Linked DNA regions of Caenorhabditis elegans. The protein of the gene in region 2 interacts with the protein of the main gene of each other region in a pairwise test. Each region holds a gene or a part of one and is shown on either strand. Other genes may lie near its edges.

What was found. Proteins that work in one complex are often made in the same cells at the same time.
Region 1: the proteins of ceh-40 (region 2) and col-20 interact in a two-hybrid assay, tested with the Caenorhabditis elegans proteins (one large-scale study listed by BioGRID).

The regions. Positions count from the first base shown.
Region 1 is NC_003280.10:4,869,119-4,872,423, forward strand, and holds col-20 (Nematode cuticle collagen N-terminal domain-containing protein), read right to left. Parts: upstream 1,674-3,305; 5' UTR 1,654-1,673; coding exon 1,590-1,653; intron 1,462-1,589; coding exon 659-1,461; 3' UTR 552-658; downstream 1-551. Other genes in the region: col-73 (Nematode cuticle collagen N-terminal domain-containing protein), read right to left, coding at 3,099-3,145, 3,198-3,305.
Region 2 is NC_003284.9:12,317,604-12,322,368, reverse strand, and holds ceh-40 (Homeobox protein ceh-40), read left to right. Parts: upstream 1-1,591; 5' UTR 1,592-1,668; coding exon 1,669-1,760; intron 1,761-2,429; coding exon 2,430-2,709; intron 2,710-2,752; coding exon 2,753-2,827; intron 2,828-2,872; coding exon 2,873-3,124; intron 3,125-3,602; coding exon 3,603-3,845; intron 3,846-4,081; coding exon 4,082-4,129; 3' UTR 4,130-4,243; downstream 4,244-4,765. Other genes in the region: F17A2.13 (uncharacterized protein), read right to left, coding at 1-703; xtr-2 (MX region of TRA-2 Related), read right to left, coding at 4,696-4,765. UniProt on the Caenorhabditis elegans protein: Plays a role in regulating gene expression in dopaminergic neurons, acting redundantly with homeobox protein ceh-20 in head neurons.

The sequences.
Region 1 (3,305 bases), on a different chromosome or scaffold from region 2:
ATGGTTAGCATAACTTGTAGTCATTTTTCAGGATATCCAGGAACATTGTCAATTTTCAGTTTAACAATCCAACTTATTGGAAAATATGTTTAAAACGTTGGAAAAATCCTCAAACACGGCCCTCAAAATTTCGACAACTTTCAGCCAGTTTTCAGATGTTTTTTTGCACATTTTATTAGTTAGGAATATTATTTTTAAATTAATCAAATATTTTTCAATATTTCTAAATTTATTTTTGACTTAAATTGCTTCTTGGAAACCGCTTCAGATTTATAGAAGAATCTCGAATCAAAGCGACATGACTTGGTTTTTATCATTTTTCGGTTGAGCGCATTTCCTATAGATCAAAAGGATTTGTGACCAGTCTGACATCTTCATCGAAAATTACATGAAACGTAGTAGTATCTATGGCAACACATTCACCAGACATAAATGGTTTCCTACAACTATTTCAATGGTCATTAGAACTATTACCGTATCTTCTTATCAAGTTTGAAATCGCTTCTGAAAGAAACTTCCTGTTGTTGAACTAAACTTTTTTGAAAACACACTTATATGATAATTCGAATCAACTAATATACTCGAAAGTTCTTCATTTTGAGTGAAAAACATAAACGACCAGAAAGAAAAGAAGAATTTAAAAACATAGAAAGACAATCTAATATCCTGGAGCAGTTCTTGGTGGTGGGCAGTGATCGCAAGATCCCTTGGCTCCGGCGTTTCCTGCGGCTCCTGGAGCTCCATCCTCCCCGTCCTTTCCTGGCTCTCCGTTTGGTCCATTGTCTCCTGGTGGTCCTGGAGGTCCGGCTCTTCCTGGGTGTCCTGGTCGTCCATCGGCTCCTGGCTCTCCTGGACCTCCTGGCTCTCCTGGTTGTCCTGGCTCTCCTGGTGGGGATGGAAGAGAACGAACTTGTCCTGGAGTTCCTGGGTTTCCGGCTCCTCCATCTTCTCCGGCCTCTCCTTGTGGTCCTCCTGGTCCTGGTGGGCCACGTGGTCCTCCACGTCCAGCTGGTCCTGGTTCTCCGTGTCCTCCTGGTGGTCCTGGTGGTCCCTTTGGTCCTGGTCCTCCGGCTGGTCCAGCTGGTCCAACTGGGCAATCGAAGCAGAAGTCAGCGGCAGTTGGCTTCTCGTCCTTATCGGTAGAATCGCGACCTGGCTCTCCATCATTTCCTGGCTTTCCATCATCTCCTGGAGCTCCGTCCTCTCCTGGAGATCCTGGGGCTCCGGCGGCTCCAATTCCGCAAGAACAGCATTGGTACTCAGACTGACGCTTTTGACGATCAGAAACAGCGTTAGATCGGACCTTGTCGAGCTTGAAGAATTCGGATTTAAGATCAGCATTCTTTGATTTACAGAAGACAAGCTCCTCTTGGAGGCCAGATTGCACATTTTGCATGTGCAGACAGAGCATTGGCACGGCAATGATAGCCGTCAAGGTGGCAATGGTGGAAACAGCCACACCTAGAAAATGAAAGTGTGAACAATTGAATAATAGGAGTTATGATAATCTTTGGCAAAATGATATTAAACATCTTATAATATATTAAAGTTTTTGAAAACAAAGAAATTGATTTTTAAAAAATAATTACCGAAGAAGGCGAATTTTTTGACGGAATCCGCCTCAGCGTACTTGATTGACTTCTCGTCGGCCATGTCCGTTAGTGTGATGGTTTCCACAACTTTCGACCCCTTCTTTTATAGTTTCGCTTGGGAACCGATAGCGTCGGTGTACAGTAACTACTAGAGATAGGAGAGTGGGAGTAGGCTTTCCAGGAAAAAAAAGAAGATGCTTGAAGAGGGATCATCTGAAAATTGGAGACGCTCGACAATTTGGGGGCTGATTGGTTTTCGGGGTTGGCTTGAAGGGAGACGTAGAAGACCGTTGCCTGGGAAGAAAAAAGAAAACAGAAAAACGAACCGATCTGAACTGTTATCATTCCTTGCAATCGGCAATCGTGCCGTTGTGATGGAAAATAGAAAAATGACGGAAGTTATTTCTTAAAATTTGATAGGGGTAGCAACATAAAACTTTTCCTTTGTTGAAAATGTTTCAGGATTTTTAGAACCTATTTTCGCGAGTGTCAATAAAAACCAGATAATACCATTCGGCAATCCAAAATTCCGAGTAGAACATTGCAAAATCTATAATTTGGTAAAGGGACGAGCTTTTGTTATGTGACAGAAAAACATTTCAGGTATTCATTTTTTAAAATTCATTGCAATTTAACTTTTCCGAAATTTTACCTCACAACTGCCAAGTTTTTGAGCTCGATCTTTTCCGGTTTGCTGAAAGAGTGAGAAGCCTATTTCTTTTTTGACAGCTCCAAAAGTGGCAAATACCAAATTGCAGAAAATGTTTTTGTGCCCATTCCCAATTTCCACTAGTTGAGGTCACAAAAAAAGTTGATAAAAAGCCTCGTCTGAAAAAGTGTCCACAAAAAAAGTATACAATTCAATTTTTATTAAAAATTACTTTAAAACTGAAATTTACAGGCAGGTTTTGATCACATTTATGCCTCGTGATGTATTTTCCACAACTAGCTGGAGGCCTACATTCCGCAGCTCAACGTTGCCATTGTTTCTATAAAATTTCGCATCTGGTAACTACTCTAAAGTTTTGGTCTTCCTAGAGTTTATTCGCCGTAAAGAATTTTTTTAAAAATTATAAAAAATTAAATTTCAAATATTAGTTTTTTGATTCATTAGTGTGAATTAAGTTTTGTTAACGCGAAAAAAAGTTTCAAAACCTTAAGCTCAAAACTAAGCGTATCGAAGAGCTTCTTTAACTTTTGTGTTTTCATAATTTCTATTACCAATATTTTTCCACATTGTCACCGTTCTTTAAACGAATCATAATAGTTTTGTTTTACGAGTCACCTTCCTTTTAAATGACCGTCCATCATTACATTCACTCATTTTCACTTTCTATCTCTTCACCTTTCTTTTCCTATTCATCCAATTCTCTTTACAAGTTCAATTAATTTCAATAGTTTTATTGGTTTCTTGTTGAAGAGCCCCGTGAAATGTTTCGACAGGTATTATAAATACAAGTAGAGAGAAAGAGAAATAATTTAAGCAAGAAAATAGCAATTGAGGAATTAATATCCTGGAGCAGTTCTTGGGATTGGGCAGTGATCGCATCCTCCTGGAATTAGGGAATGATAAGAGAAATGTACAAAAATTGAATAAATACTTACCCTTGGCTCCGTCCTTTCCTGGCTCTCCAGCCTCTCCTGGTGCTCCTGGGTTTCCTGGAGCTCCATCTTGTCCTGGCTCTCCTTGTGGTCCTGGTGGTCCTTGTGGTC
Region 2 (4,765 bases):
TCCACTTGAAGTATGCTTCAAACTTGTGGTGAACTTGAGATCTCGCCAATTTGCAGTAGTACAGTTCGTTTACGAAGTTGCTATTCTCAGGTTCTGGTTTTTCCGTCTTACTGAGAGACGATGAAGCGGAGCAATGAGAGCTCTCCGATGAGCATGACGACACTGACGATTCTTGTTTTCTTCTTGACATGATTCTCGTCTCACGACGAGCTGGAGATCTACTCTCCACATCGAGATTGTCTTTTTTGATGTGAGACTTGATAATCGTTAGGCCAGAAAATTGGCGGGACAAAGATCGGAGAATGGGGGTCTCGACTAGTTCCTTTGCTTCGTTCTCGTTTTCATAGAACACCTCGTCGTTTTCATTTTTAGCATTCTCCTGCTCGTCAAAATTTTCTTGAACATCTGCCTTTTCTTCTTCTTCTTCATTTTGGCTCTGTTTCAGAAAAGACTCCTTCCTGAACACAGGACCATCGCACACATCTTCTCCTTGCTCTTCTTTTTCGGTCTCATCAACAGTCTCATCGTCAGTTCCGCCACTTTCAAACTTCTGCACCAATCTGCTCACTTTTCGGAGGCTATTTAAAGTTTCATCATGAAAGGCTGACTTCTTTTTATCTTTGTTCGGGGTAAACATGATATCCTCCATCGCTTGCCTATAGATTCCAGCGTTGGAGTAGGAGAAGTCATTGCAACACGACATTGTTGTACTGAAATTTAAAAAAAATTATAGGTATTGTATAACCAGTTGAAAAATTGAGAACGTTAAAAAAATGTGGAACAAAAGAGTAAGATTGAAAAAAAAAAGTCCAAACAGTTGTTTTCGAGACGGAGAATAATTGAGAGTGTAAACAGAAGACCATTCGTTCAAATACAAAATGAAGAAAACGAGGAATTAGATATTTTTACACTTATTTATATCGATCGATATTGCTAACGCGACATTAGACTCTCATCCCACTCCTTTCCCGACTCTTCAACCCATAAATCGTCAGAGGAAAACAACATGTAGCAATGGGAACATTGACACCCTTCCAAGTTTGGCAGATAATCTTTGTTGACTGCAAAACTAATAACTAAAAACTGCAGCTTAACAGTGAAATCAGAAAAAATTGCACCATTTAATTTTGTTCTGTTGTTTCTACAGGCTTCTTCAAAAAAGTGACTGTCCACTATCTTCAGATTTAATTGAAAAAAAGCATAATTCAAATTTGGTTACTATATAACGCAACTTTGCTTCTGAGAAAAAAACAATAAAAAATGCATTAACTTGTAAGATTGAGAACACAAAAAAAAACGATTAGGCAACATTAAGAGCAAGAAAGAGGAGAACAATGGGCGAATAATCCAATATGTGGGAAACGGCATCTGTTGCAACTCATATCGTGACTGAATATCGGCTGACCTTCCCATCTCACCGCACAGTTGCGCTCATTACGCAACGAACGCTTGCACACAAAAAAGTATTCGATTGACTCGCCCAAACTGCGCACATCATTTACAACCACTTGCGTTGCGTGCACCGATACTGTCTGTCAACCACAATTTGTCTTTATTCTTGACAACGTTACGTTTTTACCCCACCTCTCGCTAATGTGTCCGTCTCATCAACATTTTATCTCCAATACGTTTCCTGTCATTTATCATTAATTCTGGTTTATTGTAGACATGAGTGAGGCGTCAAAATCGATTATGGATCTGCTGTCAGAAGTTGTCAAAATTACCGACATGACTATGGATAATGAAGCTGTCAATAAATTGTGAGTTAGATTTTTGCTTATGTGCTGCCATAAATCGAAGTTTTCAAAAAAAAAAATCAACAATCGTTATGTGATGGTTTGCGCTTGTTTTTTCTGATATTCCTATAATAAAAATTCTCAATATTGTTTCATGGGCGTGTTGATGATATAAGTATTCAAATCAAAATTATTAATAAGTTTCAAAATTTTGGTCAATGTTTATAGATGTTGATAACAAATGTTCATTCATACTTAAAATACTTTGATTAGTTTACGACTCAAGAAAAAATAATGACAAGATATGCTTTTAAGCAAAGTTTCGTAAAACATCAAATGTTTAATTTTTTTGATCAGCTTTTGTAGGCAATAGCCTGTCTCTAATTTCTTTATTTGAACAGTACCGCTCCTTAAAACATTGCTCTAGTTCAACTATCATCACAAACTTCTTGAAAACTATTTTTTGGAAAAACTTTCTTAAGCAAACTCTCCGCTGGAGTGCTTATGTTTTTCTTTCAACTTCAGTATTTATCATAATATTGTTTTGGTAACTATACATTTATGGAGAAGTTGCGATAAGATGAAAACCAACACTAGAGATTACTATCAAGATACAAAAAAGAAAAGAGGATATTCACTTCCTCCTGAAAATAAAAAATAAAAAATTGTCAAAAGTATTTATGAATTTTTCAGAAAACCACAAATCAAGATCAATCCATTCTACCGAGCCGTACAAGATGTTCTAGTTGAGCAGAAGTCCAAAATCGACCTATCGACAAAGATGATGAAGGATCTTGAAGCACAAGAGAATGATGAACGGCTGGATACCATGCTCAAAGCAGAAGGAGTTGCTGGACCCGATGATAGTTTGTTGCGTATTCAGGAAGCTGCTGGAACTGACCAATACGAGTATCGTCAACAACTTTTGAAAGTGAGACGAGAGCTTGAAAATGAGACAAAAGCGTTTGACAAGGTAAGATCGTCTCATATATCACCAACCAATATACAAATTTCAGCACTGCAAAAAGTGGTGTGAGTACGTTGAAGATGTTCTCCAGCAACAAGGAGAATTCCGTCCAATCACCCAACAGGTAAGCCATAAATCTACCGGTGAAAAGATTAAACCAATTTTTCAGTCAACCGAAAAGTTTATGAACAAGATGTCCGGTAAATTTAACAAGGTCTGTTTTGTACTAAAACAGACTGCCTGCGAAGAAGTTATCCAACTGAAAAAGCGTTATCTGGATGCTCGTCGAAAGAGAAGAAATTTCTCGAAAACTTCCACCGAGATTCTCAACGAGTACTTCCTAGCAAACATCAATCATCCATACCCGTCGGAAGAGGTCAAACAGGCCTTAGCTATGCAATGTAACATTAGTGTTGCTCAGGTAAAATTGAAAATACAAAATTACATACTAAAAAATATGCATAAAAAACTTTTGAAGAATATTACGATTTGCATGAAGATAATATTGATAAGGCCTAAATTAAAAGCTCGCTAAAATGCGCCATCATCACCATTTGCGTCAGCTGTCTCCTATTAATATTTGCGCGGGAGTTTTGAATAGGAAATGTTGAAACGGTGTTCAGAATTAACGAATGCTTTAGTAGTTTCTAGAAAATGGGAAGTAAGGTTTTCTAAAAGAAACGCAAAACTAGTTCATTATTCTTTGGAATATAATTGTGGTTACATAAAATAATCGCTGTTCTATAGACACGAACCTAAAAATTATGCAACTTTTTTAAAAACTATTTTTGTCACTGTCAATATTGTCAGTGTTTCTTAACACTCTATCACTCTATTTGAAAAAATTTAGTCCCAGATATCTGCATACAATCTTACAGTAGTTTACAGTTTATTTTCAGGTATCAAACTGGTTTGGAAATAAGCGAATTCGCTACAAGAAAACAATGGCTAAGAATGAGGATGAAAGAAGAGAAAACAGAAAACCAGAAGATCGCCCTCCGCCTGGAGCTCCTGGAGCTCCGTATAGTCTGGTACCCAACGCGTTTGCAGGAATGATGAACCCATATCAGATGATGTTACCTGGTCATCAATTTCCCATCGGTGTTGCCCCTTTCAATTTTTCCATGTACAATCCTGAGATGGTAAGTTTTCATTTCAAATACTGTGAACTTGCAAAAATAGAGCAATATATGTAGTTTGTTTCAAAACCCGGATTTTTGTTAAACTTGAAAAAAAACTCGTTCTTGGATACATCAAATTCTGGAAACGATGTACTCCAAGTTGCGAGCAGCTGGAAAAGTTGAGAAACTAGGTTTTTTCTTACTGCCAGATTTTGAAATCATGCATATTCCGAAAAAAACAGTTTTCTCATTTTCAGATGGCCCAATATCAACAGTCTCTACAAAACCCAAATCAAACTCGATGACAAACTTTAATAATGCTGGTACTGAGTACTCATTCATACATTTGCCATGATGTTATAAAGTAATAAATTCATTGAAATACATCCTGTGTTCCATAAGATGTATTACTTTTTTAAGAAATTTATTTGATACTGACCAATGTTTTTGGCTGCAAAATGCAACATCACAATTTTTAGACAAGGGCTTACAATATAAATGAGGTAACAAGAACAACATAACTATTCACAGAACAGGAGATTTTCCTGAAGCGTTTTTAAAAATGTTGAGAAAGTGGTGATATTGAAAAAAAAGTTGAAATTAATTAAGTTTTTAAGAACTCAGGCCAGTTATATCCATAACAAGTAGTAGTATGAAATTTTGGTGGAACTGCGAAAATAACATGCTGAAATTGGAAACTAATGTAAAATTATATTATCTAGCGGTTAGAAACAAAATGGTGAAATGAAAATCTATGACAACCATGAAGTGGAGAGGTATTGAAAATGATCCGAAGTATAGGGAATTGATTTGGTCTGATATGATCCTATTTAAACATTTCCACATTTTGCTGAATACTTTGATATTTTGATTACTGCCTACGTGGTCCATTGGGCACAAGAACTCCGGGAGGAACATCAACTGTTCGCTCGGTCCAAAAA